3 linked regions of the Callithrix jacchus genome follow. The protein of the gene in region 1 purifies or fractionates together with the protein of each later gene. This does not show direct contact. Links are inferred from orthologs where the notes say so. Each region holds a gene or a part of one and is shown on either strand. Other genes may lie near its edges.

Region 1 (3,575 bases):
GAGTAACATGAGTCCATTTTTTTTTTTGAGACAGAGTCGCACTCCGTCACCAGGCGCCAGGCTGGAGTGCAGCGGCATAATCACAGCTCACTGCAGCCTTGACTTTCCGGACTCACGTGATCCTCCCACCTTAGTCTCCTGAGTGGTTGAGACTACAGGTGTGCACCACGATGCCCAGTTAACTTTTTCATATTTTTAGCAGAGTCAGGGTTTTGCCATGTTGCCAGGCTAGTCTCTCAACTCCTAGGCTCAAGTGATCCTCCCACCACAACCTCCTAAAGTGCTCAGTTGACAGGCGTGAGCCACTGTGCCTGGCCCAAATTTTCAATTAAGTAACAACAACAACAAAAAAAGATGACAAGATCAACACAGAACATTGTATATGCAGTACAATATAATATTAGCAGGCGATAGTCATTTATTTTGCATATTGCGTATCACAGAGCCTGATAAATATCAGTCTCATTAACAAATATACAGTAACTTTTAAAGATAACTTTGAGGTCTGTCATTTCCATTTATTCAAATGTGCATTTCATTTTTTTTTGGAAATGGAGTTTCACTTTTATTGCCCAGGCTGGAGGGCAATGGCGCGATCTCAGCTCACCTCAACCTCTGCCTCCCAGGTTCAAGCAATTCTCCTGCCTCAGCCTTCTGAGTAGCTGGGACTATAGGCACATGCCACCATGCCCAGCTAGGGCATCTATCAAACAAATCCTCCATTGGAAGCAATGTTTCCCACCAAATTCATTTTAAATTCCTAAATTCACAAGCCTCTGCTCTAATTTCTAAACCAGCATAAGCCTCACCTTGCTCAAAGCATACAGATCCAGGATTTTTCTCTCTACCACAGGGATCTTCAGAGTAGATCCTTGAAGTTCCCAAAATTTTGCTAGTTGATCCAAGAAATCCAGTCTCACTCTGGTCATTGCCTAAAATTATTAAAATACAGAAATAAGAACTAAGTTATGATTGAAAGGAATGAGTATAACAGAGCAGGGGTCCCCAAACCCCAGGCTGTGGACTGGTACCCATCAGTGGCCTGTTAGGAACCCAGCCGCACAGCAGGAGGTGAGCAGCAGCAGCGGGCAGGTGAGCAGCAGCAGCGGGCAGGCGAGCAGGCAAGAATTCCCACAAACCCTACTATGAACTGCATATGCAAGGGATTTAGGTTGTGCACGCCTATGAGAATCTAACAAATGTCTGATGACCTGAGATGGAACAGTTTCATCCCAAAACCATCCCCCATACTCCCATCCATCCATGGATAAACTGTCTTCCGTGAAACCAGTCCCTGGTGCCAAAACCGCTGGGGACTGCTGTAATAGAGGAACTCACTTCTTTCAAGAAATTCAAAGACTTTTCATTATTGCTTAGTCCAACCCTGTAAAACCAGCCAATAATAAAGATGCAAAAGACTTCTAACAAACTTTATTCATTCAGGAAAAAAAGTTACTCTGATTTATTTTAAAAGTTACACTGGCAACCAAAACAATTTTTTTAAGTTTGTTCAACTTTATGCTGACCAGAAAATTCAGTAAATCGGATCCTCCTCACTGTCTAACATTCTGTCATTTCATCCACAGGTAAATATGCACACTTTTGGTGCGTCAACCCTCAACCTCACTTATATTGAGATGCTTCATCAAGTATCTAATTACAAGAGACTAAAAAGAAAAAATACGTATTGCAGCCAGGCACGGTGGCTCACACCTAGAATCCCAGCACTTTGGGAGGCTGAGGCGGGCGGATCACCTGAGGTCTGGAGTTCCAGACCAGCCTGGCCAAAATGGCATAACTCCGTTTCTACTAAAAATACAAAAATTAGCCGGGCATGCTGGCTATAATCCCAGCTACTGTAAAACTAGCTACTAGGGAGGCTGAGGCAGGAGAATCGTTTGAACCTGGGAGGTAGAGGTTGCATGAGCCAAGATCACACCACTACAGTCTCATCTGGGTAACAAAGCAATACTCTGTCTCAAAAAAAAAAAAAAAAAAAAACTATGTAGTAAACTCTCAGAAATGTTTTGAGGGAAAAGAAAAAAAAACTCAGAATGACATAATAAACCTTTGCTATCAATGATTTTCCTTCTGTACTCTAAAAGTTTTAATATCATAATGAAGAACCTTCTAAAAATCAGCAGACAAGAAAAACAGCAACACATAGTCTTCTATTTAGAAAACGTAAGATAAATCAGTAATACTTAGAGGAAGATCTTTAAGTGTGTGTGAAACGGAGTCTCACTCTGTTGCTCAGCTGAGTGCAATGGCACGATCTCAGCACACTGCAACCTCCACCTCCTGGGTTCAAGCAATTCTCCTGCCTCAGCCTCCCAAGTAGCTGGGACTACAGGGGCCCACCACCACACCCAGCTAATTTTTGTATTTTTAGTAGAGACAGGGGTCTCACCATTTTGGCCAGGCTGGTCTCGAACTCTTGACCTTGTGATCCACCCACCTTGGCGTTCCAAAGTGCTGGGATTACAGGTGTGAGCCACTGCACCCGGCCAAAGGAAGATCTTAATAAATCAGATTAACAGTCCTGACAAAGTTCCATTAAAATCGAAACCAAAACAAAAGAAAAAAACTTTGAAAACTAGGATTTTAAAACAGGATTTAAAAATCCATTTTCCAAGAACCAAGGAAGACAGAATCTTCCAAGATTTACAAAAATTTTAGCAGAGTAAGAAACAATAGAGAAAGTAGAATTTAGGAATTCTAAGTCTCTGAAGCTAAGCATTGAATATTTCCACTAGAAAAACAGAGCTACAGATAGTTTCTCGTGATCTCAGTTAAATGGAAAAACCGTAACTGCTTTGCACAATTTTTTTAAAAAGCATACTCTTCCTCCAAACATCAAGTAACTATTCCAGTCAGTACCAATTAACACAAACTCTAGGCTATGCAAAGTTCTCTACCTACAGCCCTAACAATAAAGAATAAATCAGGAAGAAGAAATGGTGACACAACACTTACCTCAAGTTCATTCAGGCGCTGGACTCTTGGAGTGAAACGAAAGCTTTTTACTTCACAGGCGAATGGAGGCTGCCAGTCCTAAATAGAAAGTGTTTTTTCAAAACACAGTGGTATGTAAGCAAAGAATAGGTTATTTATTCCCTTAAAGGGGGTTTTTGCCACAAATCATGGTGATAATAGACTAACTTATAAGTCTTCTTTATTACAGAAACAAAATGAGCAAATTTTTTAGATAAAATAATTTTAATACAGGTTGAGTATCCCTTACACGAAATGCTTGGGATGAGAAGTGTTTTGGATTTCACTTTCCATATTTTGGAGTATCTGCATATACATAATGAGATATATTGGAGATGAGACCCAAGTCTAAATACAAAATTCTTTTATTTCACATAAAGTTATACATGTAGCCTAAAGGAAATTTTATACAATATTGTTAATAATCTGGTGCATAATGCATGTGTACACTGGACCATGAGAAAGGAAAGGTGTCACTATCTCAGCCACCTGTGTGGACAATCTGTAGTTGTCTGGCATCACCATAATTTCTGACTCTGCATTTACAAGCTACCAATAAACAATTATTTCCTTACACTTAT
Region 2 (2,642 bases), on another chromosome or scaffold:
GATGAGGCTGGGGATAGAATATTCATTCTCTATCCCTAAGGCAAAATCCTGATATGCAAGCAGGTGCATCTACACAGACACTGCTGGAATGTACACAAAGGTGCTCTCTTCAGGAAAATTTCCTGGAGAAAGTTCCTAAGATCTGGGACGAAAGCACGGTATTTGGTTTAATGAGCATCCCGGGACTTGATAATTAAGTTAATGCAGCAGACTCGTTTTCTGATGAGGAATAGCAGTTGTAGAGAGGTGTGACTGCGAATCACATGACTGGAAGTGGGTCAAGACTGGATTCTACTATCAGTCAGGGTTCTCTGGAAAAAGTCCCCCGGCCAGCAGATGCACCCATGTCCTTCCATTGTCCTACACCCACCCTGACCTGCTTTTCTCCAACATCTCCCCTCCCAAACTTCGCTATGGAAATGAGACCCGTCCAAAAGGTCCCTCACCTGCTGGACCCAGATCTAAGGGAGGGTCTCCTCTAAGGGTGATGACAGGTAGGACAGACAGTCAGAAAACATAATTTGAATTATTTTTGTTTTTTATATACAGAATACAGGAAAGTTTCTGTAAAGTCTAAAACATTACAATTACTATGTACATTGGTACTAGTTGTGGGGGTGGGAGGAGAGGAGGGTATCAGGGGCAGGAGGAAGAGGAGAGAAGTGGCAAGAGAACAAAAAAAGGAGACGAAACAGGTTTACGACAAAAACATTTTTGCTACAATAGACAATTTGAGAAAACGCTCTACCACATGTAGTACTGTACACGGTTTTTAAAAACATTGAAAAAATGTCATCACTAGATGTATTTACACAAAATCCAAATACACTTTTCCTTATTTGAAATAAAATAGATGGACAGCCAGAAAAAGAATTCATTTCTCATTTGTCCATAATACACAGTAGCTACCTGTAGTGCAACCGCTGCAGAAGGGGAAAAAATAACTTGGAGGATGGGAACCATGGAAGGAAAGTGGGTAGCGATCTTTATATTAAATAAAACAATGATATTGTATAGATTTTGCTGTATGAAAACTGTATTTCTTTTAATATAAAACTATTGTCACTGCCACAAAATAGAACAAGTTTCTGATTATTTTACAACGGCGGGCGAGGGGGAGGGAGCAGGAGGTGGGTGGGGAAGGATTTTGTGTTGGAGGAAGTGTCCAGACCATGGGTCTTTCCCTCCCTGCCCACGCTGTTCCTCAGCTCGGGTCTGCCGCTTTCCCACGAAATGTTGAGTACAAATATATGTGCAAATGCCCCCTAGAACTTGAGAAAAGAAAAAGGATTTTTAAAAAACAGTCAAAAGGTTTTCTTCATTTCATGCAAAGATTGTGGTTGAAGGGTTTCTGGTAGAGTATAGAAAACACCCGGGCTTGATTTGTGTACATTTTTGCATTGCAGGAGTCTTGGGTGTACAGGCCAGTGGCGGGGCAGCCGCCAGTCCTAGGGAACAGAGTTGGAGCGCAGCACAGGGCCCTGGTGGGGCTTGAGAGAGAGCTTCTCGGCCAAGACCCCATCCTGCAGCAGGCTGGCATCCCCTTTGGGCTGTTTGGTCGCAAACTCAGTGATGCTGAAGACAAACTGCAGGCAGCCCAGCTTGATGTAGCTGCCATGGTGCAGTAAGGCCGTGCCCTCCCAGCCGGCCCCACTGCCCCCAATCAAGCTCGAGCTGCTGGCTTTGCAATTGCAGGGTCTCCGCTGCGGCCCCTGGGCCTGGGAACTCATTATGGCTGCCTCCTCACTTGGCTCTTCATCCTGTTTCTGGTGCCGGCGGCGCCCTGAGAAAAAGGGGGATGGTCACAGAAGAGGAACGGTGAGCAGCCAACCCATCTGGACTGTTTGCCAAGGTTGGGATCCTGCATCTCCCCATTCCAACTGCTACATGACTAAGGGTACGGGATGCTCCGAAAGGGTTGGTGGAGTCTGAAGGCCCCACAGGTGTGTACACACACGAGGGTACTCAGCACTTATTTCTCTGTGGTCTGCCCGGGGCCCACAAGGAAGGAGAGCTTGGCCATTAGGACTGGGAAGGCAAGAGACAGACCATGGGCAGCAAGTCAGAACCACCCTGACTGGGGCCTCAGCTTTGTGGCCACAGACCTCTGCTCCAACTTACTGATGACACTCTGCACTTTGGCAACAATACTGCTTGGGGGGGTTGGCGGGGTCTTCTCGGAGAAGTCACATGAATACAGCACATTGTCCACCGTTGTCCCATGCTCACTGTAGTTTAACAGCTCATAATGTTTGGTATTCTGAGGAGGAGGAGGGGAGATAAGATGTGTGGTCTGCTGTGTGGGGCCTGGGGCTAAGGGGAGAGAGGACGTATGGAGAAGGCTGTGCTACTCTACCTAGTGAGACCTTACTTATCTCCCCAGTCATGGCCCCTGTCCTTTCAGAATAGGACTGAAGACACCTCCTCAGGGAAGCCTTCCTTCTGGCATTCTACACTCCCTACTCTCCCACTGCTCCTTCACTCTGCCCTCTCAGCACTGGCTCCTCTTGTATGATATTCATTGGTCCCTGATGATAATGAAATTCACAGTGACACACCCACAGGGCTTGGCTTCCTTCTACGCTGGTCCCCTCCCCTGCTTTAGGGTAGGCTCCCTCTGTTGTGCCTGTGACTAACCTCAG
Region 3 (2,439 bases), on another chromosome or scaffold:
CCAGGTTCAAGCGTTCCTCCTGCGTCTGCCTCCCAAGTAGCTGGGACTACAGGCATCCACCATCATGCCTGGCTAAGTTTTTGTATTTTTAGTAGAGACGGTGTTTCACCATGTTGGCCAGGCTGATCTCCAACTCCTGACCTTGTGATTTGCCCGCCTTAGCCTCCCAAAGTGCTGGATGTGAGCCACGGTGCCCAGCCTGACTTTCTCTTTATCTCTTTTTAACTTTATTTTTTTGAAAAACCCAGTAGACCTTTTGCGGGGAGCATTTTTGTTGATTATTTTACTGATCTAAAGCTGAGTGATTTTTTTTAAAAGAGTTTGAATTTGGCTTCCTTACCAGTAATATATTTCCTTGCTTCTTTGATGTGATGGTTTTGAGATGTATGAGAATCTAATAGATTTGTGGTTGAATTTGCTTTGTTGTTATGAAGTCCATCCTGTGGGCAACATACTGTTGGTAGGAATTGTTCAAGCTATTCTGGAGATTATTTGGTAAAGTATACTAAAAGCTTTAAAACCATGTATGTGCACTGTTTGAACCAGTAAGCCACTTCTTTGATATTAGAAGACTTAGAAGAAATAATCAGCCTTGCATAAAACTTATGGATGAAAGTATTCATCACAATATTATTTACAATAAAAAATTGTAAATGTTATAAATGAACATTTGGAAAATGGTTAAAGAAGTGATGGCACATTGTGTGGTAGAATATTATGCATATGTTTAAAGAATCATATTTTCTAAGATTACTTGGAAACATGTTTGGTAATGTCAAGTGGGGCATCCCAGACATTTATTTTAGAAATTTATCATCATAATTTTAGACTTTTATCATCATCATTGTTGTGAGTGGAAGGCCGTTCAGAGAGGCTAGAGGTTCTTATTCTGGCTATAAATTATGTGAGTAAAATTCTGCTAGCCAATTAAAAATGTGCACCCATGTTCAATCTATCATCCTGGAAATAGCAATTGAAACACGTCTTCTCACAAGAGAAAAATGACAGTTTTAATGATGCATTATATGAATTTAAACTTTAAGTCAGGTGCTGCAAATTGGAAAGGAGACTTGTGGTGTTTTAAATTTCTGTGGACCCTTAAGAAACTTGGAACCCATGAAACCACTGTTTATTGCCATGCAAATTACAATCTTGAATGAGTGTTTTTTTTTAAATAAAGTATTAGAAAACGTGTAATAAAGATGTAAAATTGAAAAATGAAATTCTGCATTAACTGTGAATTTTACTAAATAGAACTATAGGTGAAGCAAATTTATCCATTGAGACTATTTGGTATGTGTTATGCTTGTATTCTGTTCGTGCTGGAAGATGTCTGTGCCTGTATCAGCGTGTGACTACATGTAAAGTTTCTTCATGTTCACAGTTCTTAGCAAATGCAGTTTCAATCCATAGATAGCTAGTAGTGGATGTTACTACAGGAAAATGCAGGATTAAAATTGTCCTTATGTAAAAAAAAAAAAAAAATCAGAGTACTCTATGAACAAATGTTTTCTCTAGATGTAAACTGTCGTACATGCACCCTCATGTGTGTATGTATAATTTTCATTCAAAAGTGAAACATCTTTAGAATTGGCACCAAACATATAAACATTTATCCATTAGACTACCTTGAACACCTTTCATTGACCACTTTGAAAACTTGCTTACCTATTAAGGTTCATTCATAGCTGTGGTGTTCTATTTTTATTTTCAATGTGGGATTATCTTTCTTTTTCCCAGGGAGTATATTATCAAATTGGTGATGTTGTTTCTGTGATTGATGAACAAGATGGAAAGCCCTACTATGCTCAGATCAGAGGCTTTATCCAGGACCAGTATTGTGAGAAGAGTGCAGCACTGACCTGGCTCATTCCCACTCTCTCCAGCCCCAGAGACCAATTTGATCCTGCCTCCTATATCATAGGTGAGTTTGACAAATAGTACAGGTTCTTTAACTTAGTTAACTCTCCAATATTACGTAAAGGAGTATGTTAGTCAGCTTGGGCTGTCATGACAAAATACCACAGACTGAGTGGCTTAAACAACAGAAAGTCACTTTCTCACAGTTCTGGAGGCTGAAGTCCAACATCAAGGTATTGGCAACAAGGGTTTCTGGGAAGGCTTTTCTTCCTGGCTTGTAGATGGCCACCTTCTTGCTGTGTCCTCATGTGGCCTTTCCTCTGTGTGCACACATGGAGGGAGAACTCTTTGATGTCTCTTCTTATAAGGACACCAGTTCTATCAGATGAGGGCCCCACCCTTGTGGTTTCATTTAACCTTAATTGCCTCCCTAAAGGTCTCATCTCCAAATACCATCACATTGGGGATTCAGCATATGAATTTAGAGAGTGGTGGGGGAATGCAATTCAGCCCATGACAGAAAAAGCTTAAGTGTTATTACGTACAAAAAAATTAGAGGGCTTTATAGAAAATATGAGG

The links.
Region 2: the proteins of KDM5A (region 1) and PHF12 purify together in Homo sapiens (affinity purification with mass spectrometry; 3 studies listed by BioGRID and IntAct, with this or other methods). This does not show direct contact. The link is inferred for Callithrix jacchus from reciprocal best matches to the Homo sapiens genes KDM5A and PHF12.
Region 3: the proteins of KDM5A (region 1) and GATAD1 purify together in Homo sapiens (affinity purification with mass spectrometry; 6 studies listed by BioGRID and IntAct, with this or other methods). This does not show direct contact. The link is inferred for Callithrix jacchus from reciprocal best matches to the Homo sapiens genes KDM5A and GATAD1.

What each region holds. Positions count from the first base shown.
Region 1 is NC_133510.1:13,559,800-13,563,374, forward strand, and holds part of KDM5A (lysine-specific demethylase 5A), read right to left. Parts: intron 3,055-3,575; coding exon 2,977-3,054; intron 933-2,976; coding exon 810-932; intron 1-809. UniProt on the Homo sapiens protein: Histone demethylase that specifically demethylates 'Lys-4' of histone H3, thereby playing a central role in histone code. Does not demethylate histone H3 'Lys-9', H3 'Lys-27', H3 'Lys-36', H3 'Lys-79' or H4 'Lys-20'.
Region 2 is NC_133506.1:104,706,648-104,709,289, reverse strand, and holds the end of PHF12 (PHD finger protein 12), read right to left. Parts: intron 2,261-2,642; coding exon 2,122-2,260; intron 1,784-2,121; coding exon 1,449-1,783; 3' UTR 521-1,448; downstream 1-520.
Region 3 is NC_133512.1:57,164,740-57,167,178, reverse strand, and holds part of GATAD1 (GATA zinc finger domain-containing protein 1), read left to right. Parts: intron 1-1,740; coding exon 1,741-1,924; intron 1,925-2,439. UniProt on the Homo sapiens protein: Component of some chromatin complex recruited to chromatin sites methylated 'Lys-4' of histone H3 (H3K4me), with a preference for trimethylated form (H3K4me3).